Linked DNA regions of Daphnia pulex. The protein of the gene in region 2 purifies or fractionates together with the protein of the main gene of each other region. This does not show direct contact. Links are inferred from orthologs where the notes say so. Each region holds a gene or a part of one and is shown on either strand. Other genes may lie near its edges.

The links.
Region 1: the proteins of E3 ubiquitin-protein ligase RNF185-like (region 2) and membralin-like purify together in Homo sapiens (affinity purification with mass spectrometry; 3 studies listed by BioGRID and IntAct, counting the BioPlex papers as one, with this or other methods). This does not show direct contact. The link is inferred for Daphnia pulex from reciprocal best matches to the Homo sapiens genes RNF185 and TMEM259.

Annotation. Positions count from the first base shown.
Region 1 is NC_060022.1:7,229,343-7,241,145, forward strand, and holds the start of membralin-like, read right to left. Parts: upstream 6,632-11,803; 5' UTR 6,463-6,631; intron 6,303-6,462; 5' UTR 6,290-6,302; coding exon 6,032-6,289; intron 5,977-6,031; coding exon 5,726-5,976; intron 5,642-5,725; coding exon 5,463-5,641; intron 5,374-5,462; coding exon 5,127-5,373; intron 5,039-5,126; coding exon 4,948-5,038; intron 4,865-4,947; coding exon 4,807-4,864; intron 2,922-4,806; coding exon 2,838-2,921; intron 2,756-2,837; coding exon 2,623-2,755; intron 1-2,622. Other genes in the region: uncharacterized protein LOC124196175, read right to left, coding at 8,055-8,329, 8,425-8,536, 8,605-8,715, 8,783-8,970, 9,079-9,192, 9,271-9,484, 9,543-10,133, 10,206-10,435 and 4 more. UniProt on the Homo sapiens protein: May have a role in the ERAD pathway required for clearance of misfolded proteins in the endoplasmic reticulum (ER). Promotes survival of motor neurons, probably by protecting against ER stress.
Region 2 is NC_060017.1:4,029,338-4,040,298, forward strand, and holds E3 ubiquitin-protein ligase RNF185-like, read right to left. Parts: upstream 2,026-10,961; 5' UTR 1,901-2,025; exon of another isoform or gene 1,864-1,900; intron 1,788-1,863; 5' UTR 1,776-1,787; coding exon 1,606-1,775; intron 1,534-1,605; coding exon 1,350-1,533; intron 1,182-1,349; coding exon 1,070-1,181; intron 1,013-1,069; coding exon 903-1,012; 3' UTR 703-902; downstream 1-702. Other genes in the region: anaphase-promoting complex subunit 7-like, read left to right, coding at 1-54, 142-262, 325-399; small G protein signaling modulator 1-like, read left to right, coding at 2,737-2,761, 2,888-2,931, 3,784-3,859, 4,136-4,298, 4,439-4,645, 4,707-4,774, 4,980-5,131, 5,425-5,592 and 16 more. UniProt on the Homo sapiens protein: E3 ubiquitin-protein ligase that regulates selective mitochondrial autophagy by mediating 'Lys-63'-linked polyubiquitination of BNIP1.

The DNA.
Region 1 (11,803 bases), on a different chromosome or scaffold from region 2:
CACACACACACATACACACTCTACTGGATGTGAAAGAGGATCTCAACTTTCGTCTTCAGGCTACAGCCGCGACGGACAAATATGAGACCGTAACGTTACACAGATTCCGGTATTAATAAGTGAACTACTCGGTGAGATATGAATGCGTGCTCATCACTGCGTCAAGTAACTTTTCCCAACAACAACAGCAACAACAGCAACAACAACAAAGCAAACAATATGACTGAAAGGGGAAGCTAACGAAGGCAAATTTGTTGGCCTTTCGGATAGATCATTTCTCCCGTTCTTTTGACTGGGCGCAATAAGACTTCATTTCCTGGCTGCAACTAAATAACTTGTGATTCCTGTTGTCAAAACGATTATTTCTAGATTGAGCAATTGAGTCCCACCATGAATGATATCTCTCCCTCTTTCATCAGCCGGCCAATGAGGCGACAGCTGATTATTTGGCCCTTCCATTCCTCGTGGCGAGTTTTCGTGCAAAGCCAATCAAGTGTATCTAGCATTTATGAGCATTTCGTCTGGTATTTCGGGCTGTCGACATCAAACATCAAACATACAATTTGGCCGTGTTTACGTTCAGCTGAGCCGGCTCTGTACACATTACACAATGTTAGATTGTACGCCATTATACTGTCAAAGTCTAAATGGAGAGACACGTCTAGATGTATCTATAAAGACTCAAAAGAGAAAGAGAAAGAAAAAGAGAAAGAGAGAGAGAGAAGGTGGTAGGAGATGCTTGAGCGAGCACCTACTGTGCGGTGGGGAAACTGCACAGGGAAAGCAGATTGTTGATTAGATCCACTCCGGAGGCGGTCAATGACGAATTGACGAGTCAGCCACTCAACTCAACCTCACCCTTATTTTCTCTCCCACTCTCTTTTGGCTCCGGTCCTTTTTACAGTCCCGCATGCATGCCCCATGCGTGAGCATCGGCTATGGCAATGGCGACAGCTCTCAATACAGGAGAGTCCACTTTGGCTCAATCAACGTCTATTCAACATCAACCTCCCGGGATAATCCAGTCGATGATTGGATATAATTAACTTCCTCTATTCGATATATTTTCATGGCCATATTTTCTTCTTCTACACATCTATAGCACATAATCAACGTATGCGTTTGAGACCCCCCACCCAACACTGGCCACTGGCTTTTTTTGTTATGGCATTATCTCCTTCTGTTCCTTTCCATCGAGTTCTAACCGACTTCCTTCCTCTTGCGACGGCGCTACCTCCCACGTGGACACTGGACAGCATCAGCGACCTTTGCGACCAAATGCGAATCATTCTAGCAACCTTCTACCTTAATTATGTGATATTGTTATCACGACATAATCCGAACCAAACTGTTGAAGCGCTTTCGGCAAACCCAAAAAGAAAAGACATCGGCAAGTAAAAGATTGACGTTTCGACGGAAAAGAGTCGATTCCTCTTTGTTCACTTGAACGAATCGAACTAGGCAACCCTAAACTGACAACACACAAACATGCGGGAATTCTTGAAGGCCGTGAATCTCCAGCCAAGGGGAAATTAAAACGAGTCCCATGCACAGCGCAGTGCGCGGTGGCTCTAACGTGACGGGCTCACGATATGACAGGAGGTCGAGGAGGCGACATTTCCGGCGACAAGAACGATAAGAGGGCGACACAGACTTCTGATCTGTGGTGGTACTTGGTATGCATGGAAAAGGGGGAGCGAGTCAAGAGAGCCGTGAAAGCCATTTTAATTGAAGATATAAAAAAAGAAAGAAAAAAGAAAGAAAGAGCGGAAAATTCGACATCGAAGAGAGGGTTAAATCGTCAGTATTGGCCAAAGCCTTCATGACATTCCATTTCACGGTCTATCAAATCACATGGAGGACTTGGAAGAGTGGGTTAAAAACTTATTTCAAAAAGCAAAAACTCATCAAGCCCACGGATAACCAACTAACTTGTACTAGTTCTGACGTTGCCCGGTTTTCCACAAAATAGGGACGCAAGGCGGTTAACTAATGCCTTTGTTGGCGCTTTAGTCTCCGTCAATTTCGCTTAAAGCCTTTCCAAGAGCGCGGGGAATAAACAGACGAGGGAAAATAAACTTCCTTCCACCAATGCGCTACAGTAAATCCCACCTGTTTCTGTCTCACGTGAATGTTTGGCGCGATGCTTTTCAAATGATGAATAAACAGAAAAGGGGAGACTGGAAAAGGGCAAGTGAAAAACTACAAGTGGTGATGGGGAGGGAGCTGTTTCTAGATTTTTCTTGCCAGATGGAGTCTCATCGGAATTTATCGTTGCAGGCGCCAGAAATGGTTGCCCACACTTTTTATTTGCATGAAATCTCTAAACTCGGAACGACTTCAAACGACCAGTCGACGGCATAACGACCGGGCTAATCAAATGCAAATTCTATTAAAATGACTTTGAACCCCTGCTGTGGAGGACTTTCTAGTTTCTCACTGGAGAAACCCCAAAGAAGCCTCACTATCACCATTAATACCAATTGAAAAAAATTTTATTCAAATTCGGTTGACAGACGAAAAATCGGAGCTAGAGCGCTGCGATTTTACGTAGTGACTAGATGTTTTGATGGATCAATATTATGAGATTGGCCAAGAATGAGGAAAAAAACAACTTCTTACCTGAGCCAGTGACGTTTGGTGACGCTAGTGTGACAGCAAACTGCATCGTACTGATCTGCCACCCAGACGAAGATAATGACATAAAAGGCAGTGGAACTGTCGTTGAAGAATTCGGCCATAATAGCTTCCATTCCTAAAAGAAAATTCGTGAAAATATTTTAAATTTACCACCAAATGTTTACTAATTTATTTGGTAAAAAGGAGGAAAAACTTGCCGACTAAAGCCAGAATGACGGTGAAAAATGACGCGACTGGAAAAGTGACATTTATGTTGAATTCCAGCATCTGCAGCAAGTCGACTGTCGATTTTGTAAAATTTATCAGATTACAGTCACAATGATTTGTAAAAATAACATAACTTTTCCAATCAACAATGGGCATTTTTTTTTTCAATTTGAGTTCTGCATTCGAAAGTTTCTGTGACATAATTAAGTTCGAAAAACTATGACCTTTTTAAAACTGCCTTCACGAATCGGGGGGATGCATTTTACTGCGAATATAATAAAATAAATTGCTTCTGTCTCTCTCTCTCTCTGATTTCCAGAGCCTAGTTTGATTCGGAGGAGAGCAACATCACAACGTTGATGGCCGGACCGTATAAAGTGACATGCAGATTTTGGGCCCGCTGGCACGCACGTAATCCGATCACAGTCATCAAGTGAACTTCAAAAAGTTGCAAAATCCAGTACAAGAGGCATGAAAAAGGTATGAATTGCTAACCCACTTAGTCTGCAACGCATAAAAAATGAGACACTGATGTTAATTTTTGACAGAGATAAAAGCGGGCGATAATAAATAAAGTGGAGATATAGGAGCGAAATTCGACGAGATCTCTTGTACATTCATTAGCGCGATTCTGGATTTCACACATTAACGTTTTATTGATTTACTTAGGAATCGTTATTTGGCGACCGTAATGTTCGCATTATTTCAATTTCATTTTGAAGAGTCAAAACTACTTGGATGGATCCGCTCAGTTGCAAAAGTAAACGCGTGCGAGTTGTCTGCATGTCGTTTACAGTGACGAAAGAACTACCTAACCTTGTCCTTCTTCCGATATGTCTCCCTCCTACACCTAAGGAAAACGGTATCGGCCACGGATGTTCAAAGCGACCAATTTCCCCACGGAACGTAGGAAGCGAAGAAAAAGGGAAGGAAAGAGAGAAGAAGGGAGAACAGTGGAGATTAAGAGAGGAACTAAATCAGTAGAACGACATTTTTGTTGAAAGTTTTTCTCCTGCTTCTCGTCTCCTCTGTTAATCAATGCGTGTTCAACTCTTTCCTCCCTCCCCAGTTCCAATTATCCAACGGATCGCTCAAGTGGAAGCCCTTACTTAAAAGTGAACACGAAAACAACCCCTATGCGCGACCCGTTAACGCAGGAGAAAAATGGGAAAAATAATGCTTAAAAGAAAAGAACGAGATAACCGAATGGCTTACGAAAACACTGAAAACATGGTCTCCACCTTTCATTCGCAAACGTTCAACAACAGAATATCCACCATTTCGTTGGGTTTCTTCCCAAAGACGACCGACGAAACACACGGCAAATGGTACTAATGATCAAACTTGATCACACATGCTTAATTTCCTATCTAGAGCATTCTGAAAACAAGCACACCCAAGCACAAAACTAAACCATTTTAATTTGTCTCCGAGGAAAGTAACTCTCTCTCTACTTCGCTTATTCCACTACTATTCCAAGTATTTGCCTTTAACCACTTTCTACGGTAGAATTGTCGTTTCCGGATGATTCCTCAATGTCCTACAACTGATATAATCTCCTAATGGATACGGGGAGGTTTGTGAGTGTAGATCGAAACTGTCCATTGCTACCTATGGTGAATGCAGCATTTTCTTTTCCCCCTCGTCATGGTCTGCCCTCTACCTCCTACTGGGTTATTTCATTCGCATTATTTTTCTGACTCTAACGTTTTTAAAGCATTGGTAGAAGCGTCCGTATCGACTACTACTACCGTTTAACACTATTTCAGTATATATGGATAAAAGAACTTACAAATCGCTAATGTTAAATATATAGATAAAAAGTTATAAAACAATAATAGCGATGTCAAAATCTTTGGCTATTTGGCAAAACCGTTTTTGCACAATATTGAACGAAATTATTTCAAAAATAGTTTCTAATTGATTTTGACAACACTGAGTAATAAAAGAAAAAATTACCAATAAAAATGAAGATCTGATTCCGTGAATACCGCAACAACATCGATATCGACAAAGTCTAATGAGAGGGAGAAAAAAATACACCAACGAAATTAATATACAGACACATGAACTAAATAACCGACTAGGATTTAGACTTACAAAAATCACCATGGCAAAGGCGGACGCAATATACGATGTACGAGCCATCCACATATTGACAAACCGGTAATGTTCACCTGTCACCACGTTCCTGTGCAAACGCGATCAAAAAATATACGGATAAAAAATACAAGCATTAATTAGAGGTCCCTAATATAAATAAAGATGGCAAAAAATACCGAAGATATCCCTGACTGTCTTCTGCCTCAGCCAAAGCCTTGACTGCTCCCATGATAAAGTCATTGTAACCAAGAAATTCATCAAGTAAAAATCGCCCAAAGCTGTCGCCGAAGCAAGTGTTGTTAACCGGGTCCAGCGTAACGAGCAAAATAGTGATATTTAATTTTCTTCGGGTTGTAGGGCTCAAACGCAAAAAACCGTACTCCAAAGAAAACTCTACAATATACTCTTCCGGTGGCCACACTGCTGGTTGGAAAAAAAAAAAAAAAAATTAAGGAGTAAGAATTGAACAAACAATACTATCATTCAGAATTTATTTATAAATAATTACTTACTGGCTCTTATGATTTTATCGAGTTCTGAAACCTCTGTGGGAAGCAGAGAATCAATCCTTTCATCATCCAAATTCGTGATATTGTTGGTCAAAGTATCATTGAAGTAAATTTCGTCTGATAACAATTCCGTCGTCTCCTTAAGCGCGGATGATTCAGTTTCTTCTGAGTCAGCTGAAGAACTGAAAAAAAAAAAAAATTCAAATCATTTATGATTTGAGCTTACCATCCTTTTTTTTAAGTAGTTCCTCTTTGCAGGCAATTACCTATATGGTCCACTCCAAAAACCAAACATAGCCTGATATTCAAATTGCTCTCTCTGATGTATCCTTTGCTCTTTAGCATAAGAATGGTGTAATGAATAACCCTGTATGTCTGGACCATTTCCACTTCTGGTAATGTCAATTCTCACAATACCCTCTCGTGGCCAGTCAGCTTTTATGTGATCCAGACAGGTGATGGGGGAACGGGAAAAAATTATGTGTATATACAGAAGCATTAGGAAAGCTGCCAGTGCCTAAAAACAATCAAAACTTATAAGGATAAATATTTCTTTTAAGTTAATTTTTTACCTTTAATAGGAAGAGCCATTCCAAAAGTCTTCGAATAGGTTTTGGGAATGTCCTGGCATATGCAATAGCCATTCGATGAAAAATGGCATGGAACATTCTATCTCTCACAGTAGCTAACTGATTAGCATTTACATAATTTGGATTGTTGTTATTAAGCAGAGTAGGTCCAGCACCATTCATGTTGTTTCTAGGTATGTTGTTATTAAAAAGGCCATTTGGGAATAGACCTACTCCAAACAAAAGATTGTCTCGTGGCATAATTCACCTACCACTAAGGTAAGGTAAAGAAAGAAATAAGATATTATTAATATAATAATAAAGGTTTAATAGACAGGGCACTCAGCTAACACAATCGATTTAAGTTGCAGTTTCTTACTCTTATAACGACTGACAATAATCTACCATGAATGACATTTTAAAATATTACTTACCATGCAAGCTGTACCGAGAAATCCGTATCATGGAATTAAACAATTAAACAAAACACTTGTCTAAAACTGAATTTTTTGTTGATTTACTAAAAGATAACAAAATTGTTCCATTACAATAAGTCGACACGAAAAGACTGTAGGCCTACAGTGTACACATCGACGGTGCAGCCATCTATTAAGGAAAAGTTTCATCATAAGTTCTTAATTACGCGCTAACAATTCTTAATCCCATAATAACTAAAAACAAGCCATCTCCCATTCTCACACACCAGTGCACCTTCAAGTTTGAATCCGGAATTGGGTTTTATTTTAATCCGGAAACGGACTAAAATAGAATTGAATTGTTTGCCTTAACACACCGGATTTTTCTCTGTTCGCAGAATGCCGAAATTCCCTATCGCTTATATTTTTTAAATTTTGCAATGGGGGGAAAGAAGGAGGGGACTAGGAGTTGATTTTCGCGATCGCATCGCTTTTCTAGGAAGCGGGGAAAGGAATTTACTTCCCGGATTTGATTAGTCGACTTCCATAACCCATTTGGTAGAGTAGAAGGCTAATTTGGCCAAAGAACCGATGAATAATTTGACAATCAGTTCCGATGGAACGGAACTGCCATTATTCCTTTAAACTACCTGCCTGTGAACGCTTCAAAATTGAACGTCTTTTAATATCAAGGTTCAAGACATAAGCGTGTCGTAAACGCACTTTATCCCGTTGAAAACATTGCTACTGCTGAATTAGACGAGTAAGTATTATTTCATCATTAACTGCGAAATTTTCAAAAAACATTGTAATTTCAATTTTGAATAATAAATTTTTTTTTTTTTTAAACATTCCACTCAGCCTAATCTCTCTCTTTCTCTCTTTTTTTTTTTTTAAGATTTAGGAGGGTCCCACGGCTTGTCCGAAATGTTTATTCTATAGTTTTGTTGTTCGGACAAGTCGTAGAGGAGAGGAATTTCAATTTCGCTTGCGATGCTACTACCGCTACTACGACGGAAATGGGGAAGAGGAGAAGATTGATGAAGTACTGAGTAATATGAGATGGTAGATTTCTTTAGCTTAAATCACTGTCAATTTTACTGTTGAACATTCTTTATTGCTTTAAAGTTTTCTAGTTCCGTTGCTAAGGATATCAGGCTGCTCCAATATTCTGTTGAATTTTGTCATAACTATCTGCCAACCAAGTTTAAAGCGACATGTTTACAGTTATAGAAATTCTAGGTGCACATGCTGACATGCATAACTCATACTATTTTCTGTGTATTACAATTACAGAATGCTACTTTTTTTAAAAAGTACTAACTAAATAGGTCATATAAAATCAGTGTATTTCGTAAAAATACAAACGAAGACTGCACAACATTTTCGTAAAGACCTAATTTAAAAACCTTCAGTTATTTGAGAAAACAACGTAGAACGCCAAACAAGAAATTCGGCGATGTACTTTTGGACGGATCTCTTAAACTTCCCCTCGCTTGGACGGCTCACTTAAAATTTTGCACTTGTCATAACTGTTTTTTAAACTTAGTCACAGAAATAAAACCAGCAATCTTTCGAAAAGCTAATTTTAGTCATGCAAACAGCGTCAATTATCGATTCACTTCCACAGTCGGGTCGTACCTTTCGTAAGTAAACTCGGGATAGAGATTAAAACTCAAATAGTCAAGTGCTTGGTTAAATGCTTGTTGAAGAACTTCAACAAGTTCCTGAAAGGCGGGGCGTTCATCAAGATCGATCTGCCAGCAGCTAACCATGATTTGATAAAGAGGAAGTCCGATATTACCAGGCTGTTTCAACCGCAGCCCACGTTGGACACGCTGAATCAACTCCTTACTGACCCGAATGTCGACATAAGGGGTTGCACCTAATTCAATAGTTTTATTTTGTATTTATTTTTGATTGCTAATAAAGCTAAAATCATTTTTAATAATTATTAAGAAAAAGATGCACATTAATTACCAAGGGTAACAATTTCCCAGAGGATGATGCCAAATGACCAAACTTCACATTTGGGTGCATGCTGAGGACTCGTCAACGCTTCAGGAGCAATCCAGCGTTTAAAATCGGTGCTCTATCACATTAGACAGAAAATAAGCATTAAAGTTTAAAAATACATTTCCGTTCTAATTTAGTGCTCACCTGTCCATTGTTTGGTTGATAATAGTCCATTCCGAACCCCGAGATCTTAGGAACAGTTCCGTCGGTGCTGCATATGAAAATCGTTCTAGAAGATAGCCTTTTGTGAGGTACCTACATAGATATACAGAAACAATTATTTTAGATGGATTTTATCTGAAGAAAAGAATTGAAAACTGACCGATAATGATTGCAAATAAGCCATTCCCTTGGTGATACCAAGACCTACGTCTATGGCTTGAGCTTCGTGTAAGGTTGAGAATCTTTGTTCTTTAGTGGCATAAGACGGGTAGTTGTTCAATGCGCGACTATTTAGTAAAAATTCCTTTAAATTCATCCCATAAAATTCCGTAGCGACCAACATCATTTCTGTAATTTAAAACACAGTGAGACATGAACTCAGTATTTACTTATAATAATATATGTACATATAATTAATATGAAAATATTGTATACATTATTAATTATTTTTATTACCTGGTTCTTCACATACGCCAATAATACCTGCTATATTAGCATGTTGCCCAACCTTAATCAGGACTCCAAGATCTTTTAACATGGAATTTCTTTCTCCTTTTGCCAAAGACTTGTCTAAATGTTTCCAACAGGTTACAATGACAGTTTTTAAATATGATTGAAATAATTAGAAAACATCTCTAATGAATATACCTTCAATGATGTGCAAAGCCGCTTCAATTTTAGATTCGCCTCGTTGAATGTTGCCTTTTAATACTTTGCCAAACTTTCCAGATCCAATCGAATCTGCGGTTTTAACAATATTTTCGGATGGAATTGTCCACATACGTTGAATTAATGATTCGTAATGATCGACAGCAGTCTCTTCAATTCCCATCACAAACGAAGAGTGCACGTAGCCACTATCCTATGATAAGATACAAGAATTAATTTCTCAATCATTTAACTTAGTATGCCATACATACCAATTCAATTGTCGAGGTAGAACCTCCGTGAGTCAGACCCTGTCTGTCTGATTGTTTTCTCGAGCATTTGCGGCGATTTAAGTCGTTGCGATGAACTTTATGACGCAAATAAAAATAGACAAAGATGGAAATAAGAAGTAAAAAGCCTAAAACGCCGATGGCAGCGGACAAGCCAACGACTAAAGCGGGAGGATCTCTTCCATACGGAAGTCGCTGTCGGCGAGTTGTGCTTCGACCACTGGTTATGGGTTTAGTTTTCCGAATAGGAATTTTGTCAATCAAATCTGTTTCTTCCAGTAATTTAGTGAAGCTATTGCCGTTAGTGCCAGGATCTTCTTCCACAACTACTAAAGGTGTTTGCTGGCTGGGAGGTTGAGTTTCGGCAACGGCTTCGACAAACTTTGGCCCAACTTCAGGAGCGTCAACTCCTATAGGATTACTCGGTTCGGAAAAGGAGTATTTAGATACACCTTCGTATGTAGATACAACCCCTAAAACGAAAAGTACTTCTCGATCATCAGGTAATGGAGGATTGTTGAAAGTTCCACCATAGTTTCCACCATCTCCGACCACAAACTCTTGCTTAAAAAACTTGAAAGCAAAAAATTATATCATTAAAAAAGGCAATTATTTATTTGAAGAGGAAACATTTTTTTAGCAAACCTCCGGGCTTAATTCGGCAGCAATGTAAAACGGTATATTTTCTGCTTTTGCTTCTGCCCAGTTTTTTAACGGGCTATCTTTGTGTACACCTATGGAGGCAGCATCTTCGTTTAAAACTATGATTCTGTAGGATGTTATGGGTCCGTGACTGGGTAAGATCGGTTTCAGCTGGATTGTGGCCGTGTTATTAGCTGATTTGATCACCACGGGACGCTCTGGTTTATCTGGGGCTAAATACAAATATTTAAAAATTGCTGAAAAACTCACATGTTAGTTTTACTGTTTACCTCCAATTTCAGTATTGAAAATATTTGATAATGGCACACCATATCCATCCATGGTTTTAGCTTTAACAGTAATATTATACTGAGTACCAGGCTGAAGTCCTGGTAGTTCTGTTGTTGTTGTTACGTTTGAGAAAACCCAATCCATTGGGAGACCTACTGTACTAACTGAATATGAAGACACTGGAGTAGCAGCAACATGATATTCCAGGATAATTCCATTGGAAATGACTGGATGCTCCCAAGTAATTTTCATTGTATTTTCATGCTTACTCAGCTGTGATAAAGATTTAGGTGGCCCAGACACTGGTAAAATAAAAAAACAAAACAATTTAAACACAATCTATAGGATACAGTAGCTGAGAAAATGTTACCTATGAATCCGGTTTCATAAACACTCATTGAGCTTGGACCTCCACATAATTTTGAATTATCTGATATACAAGTCAAAGGGCAAGTATCATTGATAGATTGGGCACCTAGTGAACTTGTACATAGACACTGCTTCCCATCATGAATTCCTGAATATCTGCAGGATGGAGAATTATATTTAGATTTCTAATCTAGACATAGCTTATTTCTCCTTACTTGTACTGAAGATGCCTGCACTGGGATAGACAGCTTGTAGGAGAATCTGCTGCAGCTGGGTTATTTATCATAAAATTCATAGAATTTTGACCGTTGTTTATCTCCTGATATTGATAGCACCCAACATAATCTCCTTGTATTGCTAATGAAAAGGTAAAATTTCCACATAGTTGTGTATTTATATATTTATGAAACTGAAAATATTACCTTGGATTGGAGAAAACAATTGTGCTGCATGTAAAAATACTAGCAATCCAGCAATAAGGAGATACATTATAACTGCAGTATTTTTTTTTAAGGTTTGTTGTCAAATTGACAAATTTACATGACAGCCTATCAGGTATAGCGCCACACCCGGATAGCACGCGATTCGATAGTTGCTCTAGTACTAGTTACAACAAACCAAAATGTTTGAGTTGTTTTTAAAAAATCTGATCAACAGAAGAAAGTCAATTGATCTTACTACCTGGGCCTGAGGTATTTGATTATTTTTAACTGCTAATGCATTATTTTCTAAACTGTAACACACAAGTAAGCACTAAAACAGAGTAATTAGTAGTAATAGCATAACTGTGTAGCCACTGCCCACTGCTCACTGCAATGTTAAATCATGGTTAAATTTTCCTCTCGAGTTTTTCCCCAAAAGTTGAAGCAAATATCGCGTAACGATAGTGGAAAATGGGTATAAAATATCGATATACAGTTATACACACCTGCCGTAAATGA
Region 2 (10,961 bases):
CATAAAAAATGGAGATATGGATAAAGCATTGGAACAGTACAATTCTGCACTAATGTACGAGAATCTTTATCACTTGATTTTACTTTAACTTGCATATTCACATACTATGCATGTGTTTAATTTTTTTCTTTGTAATTTTAGGCTTGAACCGAATAACGTAAAAACCATTGAGGCCATCAATAGGCTTGAAAACGCATTGGTAGCTAAACTAGAAAATCATCTGGATTTGGAAGCTGATGATCTTCCTGATTCTGATGAAGAGGTAAATTCAATTTAAAGTGAAAAACAAAATATATGCATATGTTAAAAGCTATCGTTTTCAAGCCAACCATTGAAGAAGTCGACATCGATCCTATGGGTGGAATGTGGGCCGACATGAACTTGGATCAATTTCGGTAGTTTCATGATTTATTTGTACAATCACTCAAAAATACATTTTCTACAAAAAGTATAATCCTATTAGCGCTTCCCGCATTCTATTGATTTTATCATCGAAATGAAAAATTAATTAGCCTACCTTTTCCATATTTGGTTCTCTCAGGTGTCCTCTGAGGATTACTTCATGTATACTGTAATTATTTTCATTTTGTTATTCACTCCCCAAGAATATCTTGATGACCAGCTTGTACAACCAATTGATCAACTAATTTAATTAATATATAGTCTAGTCCTTTCTACACATTTTAAAAAATATGGTTTAAATGTTATTCACGAATGATCTATTTAATAAGGGAAAAATTTCATTTAACAAGACTTGCAATCTCTGAACATTTCACTTTTAATTTTCATATATATAAATCCACTGTCTAGGAAATTTTCGAGAAATACTTCATTAAAAGTATAAACCCCGGGAATCTTTAGAATAAAAAATTTACAACACAGAAGAACCAAGAACCACAAGTTTAAGCTACCAATAACCAAAAGATAAAAAGAATTGCAACCCACAAAAATAATTGTGACAAAAAGCGTTCGTCTTCCAAATTTGCAGGATTTGTTCCATGGGCTCCGTGACCTATGCAAGATTTTTACTATTATTAACCAGGTTGATTGATTTCTAATGTATCTTCACCTCTAATAACAGGATCACCAAAGTTGAAAGTGGAAGCAAATAATCCAAATGGAAAGGCTCCAATTCCAAAAGACATTTGAAATCCCCCATCAAATCCAAAATTCGAGAAAGCCTGAAAAAGTAAATTTGAAAAAGAAAATGATTCAGTAGTCTGAAATGTTTGGTCATGGTTAATAAAAAAATATTATTCTTATTTTACACTTGCGTAAGGGTACACAATATGTGTTACCAACTTCATCATTTACACAATGAAATGTAGTGAAATTATATAAATATTTACTCCTGTATTTTCTGGTTCTGTCCTTTGACCTTGAGGTCTAGGAGGCAATTTCTCTCTTGGATCTTCTTTTGAGCCCCCACGTCCATATAATGGTATAACTTTATCTCTGCTTATAGCAGCTTTGCAGACAGGGCATGACTGCCTGTTTGGTCTTGTTTCCAGCCACTGATGCAAGCACGGCCAGCTTCATGTAATAAAACAGGGAAATTAAACAACACAATCTCTGAAAACATGGAAACATTCCTTAGACTTGTACCAAAAAAGATGTCCACACATACTAATGACTGCATCTTTTGCCGTATCCAAACATATGTTGCATTCAAAGGCTCTTTCTTCTTCACCTCTACTTTCATTTCTTTTATTTTCTGTGTTGTCACCTCCTGCGCTATTTTTCGCAGTAGTGTCGGGTTCTTCATCTACAGCCATTCTAATTAAAACCTAAAAATACAAGCATTTCATTACATTCACTAGCAATATTATTTAACTTTTTTTTAACGTGTCTAATACCACTCACGAAAAACGTTGAATGGAAAATTAGAATACTAGTTTACAATTGGATAATTCAAAGTTAAAGCATCTAGTCTGTGAACTTTAACATTGGTTTAATTTCATTCCCAGCTGCTGCACTTTCAGTAGGCCACTGACTGACTATTCACTATTCAATACAAAACTCAACTACGTCATAAAGGTTGCCAATTTCACTTTTTTTTTTAGATTCGGCAATATTATCACATCTATTTACACGGAAATTTTTTCAACCATGTTTTCAACTAAAATTTTATTTCGATGAAGGTATACTGCAAAGTAAGTAAATGTTTACAAAAAAAAAGTTGACTATTAATTATTGAGTTTTTATTTGAAAAATAGGGCATTGATCATTGGATAACATTCAAATGGCTGGCGCAGTCAAGTTGTAAATAATCTCGTGGAGTTTGATTCTCCCACGATGACATCCAAATATAACGTTGACACAACACGATTTAAATATTTGTAGGCCATTTCCTGTTTCAATTATACACACTGAAAACATTTGACATGCGCAAGCGCATTGCTACCCGTAGGTGACGTAAAACGTTGAGCTCTGTGAATACGTTCATGCTGCGGTTTTGTGCTTCCCACAGGCTGTCGAACCAACCAGTTTTTTAGTTTGACGGACATCGACAACAAGTGCCCGAAGACGATAGTGTATTCATGTACAATCCGAACTTCTACTACTCCATTTTACCATAAACTTTTGACTTCCAACACACTGAACCCTTCGTAGATTGGCAATTGCCAATTGGCCGCCCCGCTATAAGTTGTCGTGTTGATCTGAAGGCGTAATAATTGTAACGTTATATGCACATTTGGAAGCCGATTGCTGTTTTTTTCTAGTTATCCACCTGTTATGAAGATGGCTCACTCATCAAATGGTAAGTTATGGAAGCTAGTCGGTCAGACATAACCTGATCACTATAGTAAAACATACTTTTCTAAATTTTAGAAGCAATATCATACATTTATTGCATGAGAATGACTAACAGAATTTTTTATTTCAGACAAGGAGTTCAAAGAACGTCTTATCAAAACTGTAAAAAAAGAGGTAAGGACTCGCATTTTATCTTTTGATTAATGCGAAAAACTAAAAATCTATACACCGGATTTTGGTTTTTTAAAACGTATACAAATACAGCCTTACTTACGTATCGATCGCTAACTGAACTATAGGTGTTACGCCCCATAAATTGAAAGCCATATTTTTAACGTCGCAACATCATTTTCTTCTTCATTGGATTAATTTCGTAGTAAGATGAGATAAATCATAAATAAACAGCTCGTCGTCGATTTATTGGGTAATAGGATAAGGTTCTGATATTTTGCTAAGACATCGTAAATACGGTATTTTATCACAGCGGCAACACTGTCAAACGAGTAGATGCAATCGATCCAACCCACATTTGTCTTTATACTTTATAGGGAATGATTTGCAGCATTTTCACTCCTGGGCTGCGAGCCTGTGATTATCTTTTTTTTAGTCGATAATTTTCTATTCGAAAAAATTTCAGCCAAAGTTGTAAGTTTTTTTTTTCTTTTCAAAAGACCGTGGCTAAGAAGGTTAGCGGTTTTTTCTTAAATACATATTGAAATTAATCAAGTAAGTACCGGCCGTCGACATCACGCTTGCGCACGGCGTTTTGAAATGGTCAATTGGTCATGGGGTCCGCACTCTGGTACTTTTTTCGTAGAAACTAGGGGGAAATAGCAACAGGAAAAACAAAAAAGGAAACGAAAAAACAATGTGACGAAAAAGGCAAGTTAAACCAAATGAAAAGGTAACTGGGTAAAAATTTATGAAAGTCCTTGACAAAAGCATCTCCGCCCCCTTTCTAGTTACCAACTGAATATTACTAGTTACTAGTCAATATATAAAATATTAACTGTGTTCTTCACATAGGTAAAACAAATCATGGAAGAGGCAGTGACACGCAAGTTTGTGCACCAAGACAGCAGCTCCGTCACATCCCTTTGTGGTAAGCTCATAAAATTTGATCAAAGTAATGCATGTGTAAAGAATGTTGCTACACATTTGATCGCTGATTCCATATTTTTGCGATTATCGCTTATTTATCCATTTTAAAAAATCATTCGACCGGAAGTCTCTTACTTTTATTAATTGTTATTTTGCTAAAATTTTCGATTAATCTGAATGAATTCAGTGTTGTGCAAATATTTGTTGGGACGTGATATTTTATACACTGGTATGATTTTTAGATCTAATATTTTACGTTACAAAATTTATTTGGCAGCCGCCGTAGAGGGGTGCTTGTCTCATGGACTTCGGCGGCGAGCGCTGGGGCTCTTTCGTTCATCGTCAACCACGGCTTTGATGCATAAAGTTGCCAAAATATACCCACCTGCTGCAGTAATTTCAAAGCTCATTACAGAAGCCGATTCTTCTGAAGGAGTAAAGTATGTGCAAATTTTGTTGTCACCTTTGAAGTTTAATTGTTCATAGATTATAGGCAGATTATAGGCTACTCGGATTTAAATTGAAGTCGTATCTTATGTACATTGTTGTTTGTTCTTGTTTTTTTTTTTTTTATGCACAGAAGATCGTCTTCAAGCGGAGATAGCATCACCAGAATGCTTTCGTGCGGAGGAACGGGAGGAAGCGGTATCAAGCCCATTTTGCAGAAAAGAAATTCGGGTTCGTGGTTATCTAAAGGAACCAGTACACAAAAATATCTTTGGATCCGATTAGCACTTTTTGAACGCATTTTGGCAGGGATTATTGAGCATATCGTTGAGAATCATTTGTAAGTGGTTTTTTATTTGATTCCATTTATTGATTATTAATTATAGTAAATTGAACCATAGGAAATATTATGAAAACGACGCCCTTGTCGCAGATCCTGAATACGGCTCCCTTTTAGGTCATCTTCTCGGTGAGTTGAAAAATGAACATTGTAGGTCTATATGTTTTCCATGTATATTTTTAAAAGGAGAACGAGTACGTTTCCCCAAAATGTTGCGAACAAATGCGATGTTTATCTTTCAATATTTAAAACAAAATACTTGGTCAAATCGTATTAATTGTGTATAGTTAGAAATTCCGTATCTTATTTTTTAAACAATCTATTCTCTTTATAGCTGGTCCATGTGCTCTTGAGTTTACCAAATTAAAAACCAAGGATCATTATTGGACGGACCCACCTGCCGACGAACTTGTTCAGAGGCATCGTATTTCTAGTTACGTATCGTCAGGCGTAACCTCTCCAGCTAATCGACGTCCAGGACTTCATGTAAGTTACATCGTATTCTCTATTATTTATTGTTAATGGTATCCAAATGTTAATTATGTCATTTGAGCAGCTAATTTAGTCTTTAGTTCTAGCCTCTACCGGTAGGGGCTTAAGTAACGCTCCAAGCGCTTTATTTACATCCCATTCTGAGTTCTGCTAGTAGCCCAGCACGTTTCATTCGAATGAATCATGATATACATTGCGAACCTTTTCTCATTTAAAAATGCTAAAACTGATCCAGATTATAAGATATTCATTACTACTGCATTCAAACTTTTTTTTTGTGATTGCAGTACCGAAAACTTTTACCTGGAGGTAGCAGCAGTGATGGCGAATCGATTAGTTCTATGGGGAGCAGAAATTGTTACGTTAACTCTACCGCCAAGAATTATGTGGAATCTCTTCATCAAAACAACAAAGTTGTTCTACTTTATGGGAAAAACAACGTCCTCGTGTTGTCGGTAAGCAATTATACACATCCTTAGTTTACAGCACCAGAACTTCTTTTGTTTGGCTACGAAAACCCTGAAAACCAGCTGAAAGATTGTTGAAAGCTTCAATGTGAGGCCACAGTGGGCTACAGTTGTACAAGAAAACCCATTTTCTTGTGTAATGACAAAACGAGTTGTTTAAAATTGTATTGTCCAAATAATGTATTTTTTTGTGTGTGTCTTACTGTCTTGCATTAGTAGTAATTTTTCATAATTATAAACAGCGTGAGTTGACAGAACCGATTCCGGGATACCTTTCGCTACACCACGCTATGGATTCGTTGACTCTAAAATGGACTCCAAATCAATTGATGAATGGCGGAATAGATTTCGATGGTGTTGACAAAAGGTAAATTGATATTCTATAAATTTAATTGTAAGAATGATTTCCCGAAAATAATATTCGTGTCACAAACAGATTTTATTAAGTTTTTTTACATCATAAGTTCACATATTGTTGTACGGCTGACGGTTATTTTAGTAATGAACCCATAGATATTAACTAACTAAGAAAACCAAATTGTCTGGGTTATCTATCGGTAAATTTTTGTTTTCTGACGGTCAAGTAATGTTATGTTTCATCATTATATTTTTCCTCAGTACGTATTGGAACTATGCTCTGCATGTAAATTTGTATGACATCGTCTACGTCCATTGTCACCAGAAAGGTAATAACTTAGATTGTTGTTTTTTTTATACATGTCCAAATGTTTCGTATGATTTTGAGAATAACGTTGTAAATTAATTTTCAAGGATTTGATGTTGGTGGCAGTATGGTACTCGTTGGCCAGGATGGAGTTCAATATCCCGCAATTCATTTTCCAGCCGGAGGCCATTTATTGGCCTTTTTAACATGTTTAGAAACTGGCTTAAATCCCCGTGGACGATTAGATCCTCCCCTGTGGACCCAAACAGATAAAGGTATGTATTTCTTTTCTTTTTGAGACAGATGTGCGGAAAATGATAGAATGACCTAAATTGCTTAAACAAGAAAAAAAAACACAGAAATTTAATAATTGGCTTTACATAAAACGCGTAGATGTTCATGGTATAAATTATTATTTGTAAATAATTAAGTATTATGTTTCAAGGCAAAACATTTCCCAAAATAAAAAGAAAAGGACCTTCATCCGGAGACAATCTTCTCGCAATGTTAAGCTACAACGCTGTTGAAAGCAACGGAAACGATGAAGATATTACAGACGAATCGTCGATATCATCAGACTATGTATTTCGCATTGTAACCACGAGTGGTGATTTCGTCCACGATCATAATCCAGGTAATCATTTTTTTCTATTACTATATTGGCTGCGTTTAAAACTTCGATAGGACACTGGAAATTGCTTGAACAGTTAAATTTGTTGAACAGTTCTAAATTATATTAGAGAACGGAATAAATGAGCAAAAAATAGATTTAGTGTTACTAGATGTCGAATATGTAATCAAATCGCATAAGGATACTACTTAAATATATTTCACTTAGAATTACTCCAAGAATCGTCCGATGAAAATGCCTATTTATCACAGGGAACCAACGCTTGCCAAAATCAAGGTAAAAGTTTTATTTAAATTTTATGCAATTTAAAAATCCTATTGTGTCGATCCTGGTGTACAATAGAGCTCTTGTAAAATATTTAGTTCTTTAAAAAAAATGTCTTTAAATATTTTATAGTTTGCGCTTGCAATGAGTTTGAATTCTGGAATAATAATTTTTAGCGTGCAGTTCATATTAACGATTCAGAACGGTTTTAAAGTGCGGGAGTAACACAGTAATTTTTAACAAGAGCTGAATGCGTAACAAACTATCTTCCGCATTCATTTTTTTTTAAGGTGTATTTTTAGAGAAATATTTACTTTACCTAATATTAAGTTCCCCGTCCATTACCGTTAAGTACTTCATCTGTTTACCACTACAGATTGATATCCCAGATAAAAAGTAAGCAAACAACTTTGCATTTCCTAATTTTTGGGAATGAAATTCCAAGTGAATTAAAAAGCCGAAATATTTTTATTCACACATTGTTTTTTGTTTTCATAATTTATTAAGGATCAATGAGTCCACGATGGTGGTCAACTAACCATAGCCGTCCCTTTAACTCAACAGAATCTACAAGCAGCTCGTCTTCTTCTTCTAAAAGCTTTGCCGCAAGTCTTAGCCTCGCTGAGAACACCTGTAACAGTGTCATCAATTCTGTATTTTTCGAAACAGTTGATGACTCTGTTTCTTCTCAATCATCAACCTTAATTGGAGTCCACAACATCGTTAAACGGGGGTGTGTTTTAAATAGTACATTTGTATTAAGTTAGCTGTTCGGAACTAACTTGAATTCAAAGTTGTCTAAAAATATTTCTTTAAGTGCAACACCATATGACTGAAAATTAAATTACTCATTAAATCTAAAAAATTAATTTTCAAACGTTTATATTAGGAAATTTCTTGAATTCATTACGATTTTGTTTTTAAATTTGGGTCCTACTCTTAGGATTTCTCTTGATTGCTTGTTTATTAAATATTTTTGAATATAGGAAGTCTTTGCAAGTGCTGTGTGAAACAATGAAGCGACAGATAATTTCACGAGCATTTTATGGCTGGTTGGGACACTGCAGACACTTACGTACTGTTAGAACCCATCTCTCTGGATTAGTAAATGATGCGATCATTTCAAGGAATAATTCATGTGGTGAGATTTTTATTATTTCAGTTGTAATTTTCACTTTTTTTTAAATATTTATTGCCGATTAATCATCATCATGCTGTTAAATTTCTGTTGATTGCCGATTAATTGCCAATTATGGGATTAACTGAATTTTAGATGAAAACAGTGGGGTCAACGAAAAAAGTTGGTCACGGCTGGTGGTGGATGGTGTGCTGTCAAACTCCTTTGAACTTTTCCGTTTGACATATTATGGAGGAGTTGAACATAACTTGCGTAAAGAGGTTGACTTTTAAAAATTCAAAAATCTACTTTTTATGCAAATGATTATAAAGATTTTCGTTTTTTCAAGGTGTGGCCATATTTACTTGGACATTATCCCTTCGGAAGCACAATAGAGGAACGGCACACCCAAGACAGAGCAATGCAAACAGCGTACGAATCAACAATGTCAGAGTGGCTTGCAGTTGAAGCTATAATTCGCCAGAGAGACAAAGAAATTACTGCTGCGAGCATTGCCAAAATTTCCTTTGGGTCACAAAGTGGAGATCAACTTTTTGAAGACCCCGTCGAAGACCAGAGTAGGATACTGAGCAATGAAGTAATAATATTCAGATTTACGTATTCGATCAAAAAATTCAGTTTCGTGAATTGCTCTTGTATTTCTAAGGTTTTCGATTCTGAAGACTTGGAGGCGGATCATATCGAAAACGACAAAAATGAGGATAAATTGGAAGACGAGAATGACGTTATCGCTAAACACCCATACGAAACGATTGATGAAAAGGTTATTACTACACGTGTAACTGTATGAATTTATTTTGACAACTTTTTATTATTCGTTTCTTAGAGTAAAAGTCAGGATTGTGATGTCTGTCCATCAAATGTTACTATGGTCAAAGTTATAACTACTCATCCACCTTCTTGCGCAGCAGATGATATTGCAGCATGTATAGATTTTGAAAGTAAAATTAGAAAGGCAATTTTTTTAGAAGAATTATTAATTGAACACTGGTGTTGTAATAATTGCAGTTCATCGGCAAACATTATTGGAGAACAACGGCAGTAGAAGTTTACAAAATGGTTCAACTATGGTTGCTGATATTAGTTCAACTAAAGACACAAATCTCAGTCTGCCTAATCTGATCATTGATGACGGCATGGACCGCTGTAGCATAGGTTCAAGATCATCTTGTGTTTCACCCGTAAGCTCCCAAGGTGGAATTTACACGGTAATTTAATTTTCCACTACGTAAAATTATTCAATCCTTTTGGGGTAGTTGGGCATTTTTTCAAAGGGAGACTTTAATACCCTATCAAGTCAACAAAGATTTTGATAATTTTTCCCTTTATGTCTGAATAAGGCGGAATTGCTGGAAAAGTATGGTCTCAACTTACATCGAATAGACAAGGATGTTCAACGATGTGACCGAAACTACCACTATTTTACGCCTAGTAATCTAGACAAACTTCGGAACATTATGTGCACGTAAGGGAAAAACAAAATATTTGCAACGCTCTTGTTCGTGTTTTTCGCCGTGATTTCTAAAGCTATTTTTTATTGTCATTTTATAACATGTGTAAAGTACCATATTTTTTAAAACTACTTTTCTGCGGTTTAACCAACGCGATAATTTGAAAGACACAGCTAAAACGAGTATTTTTGTTGCAGATATGTTTGGTGCCATCTTGATATCGGTTACATGCAAGGAATGTGTGATCTAGTGGCTCCTTTACTCGTCATCATAGAAGACGAAGCTCTCACATATTCATGTTTTTGTGAGTTAATGAAAAGAATGTCAGCTAATTTTCCTCAGGGAGGAGCAATGGATTTACATTTTGCCAATATGAGGTAAAACCGTTTCCTATAAAATCTATTTTTTAAGTAAGGTTTTTAAGTTAGACATTCTAAAACGAGCTTTTAAATGCTCAAAGACATAATATTGAATAGTTAACTGTTAACATAATATCCTTTGTAAGGAGAACTAGATTGATAAACCTGCGAGGCTCAATTTGCGGAAAGCTTACATTTTTAAAACTAATTAATTAAAATTTTAAATGAATTAAAATATGTTTTTAGTGATAATTTTCATTCGAAAAGGGAAATAATTTCATTCAAGATTCAATAAAAAAATAAGTAGTATTGCAAATTTTTGTTCAGTTGAAACTATCTATTGTTGTTACAAGCGCTCATAAAAATAATTTTATCAATAGATCACTTATTCAAATTCTCGACGGCGAACTATTCGACTTGATGCATCAAAATGGAGATTACACCCATTTTTATTTCTGTTATCGGTGGTTTCTCCTAGATTTCAAAAGAGGTGAGTAATGATGTCTTCATCGGATTTATTTTGTAATAATTTATTAATTGATTCGTTTGAACTGTAAAAGTTCATGTAAAGTCGAGTAAAAAAACACGAACGGTTGCCTAGCCTCACGGGACAATCAGTGTTTTTAATGAATATGTCAAAATGCTGTTTTCGGCAATGGAATCAATACTTCTAAAAATTCCATGATATTTTTCTTTAGAGCTGATTTATGAAGACGTTTTCTTGGTATGGGAAACTATTTGGGCAGCCCGTTCCATTTCATCCCCGCATTTCGTTCTTTTTGTTGCCCTGGCATTAGTTCAGCATTACCGTGAAATCATTCTAGCCAATGCCATGGATTTTACTGACATC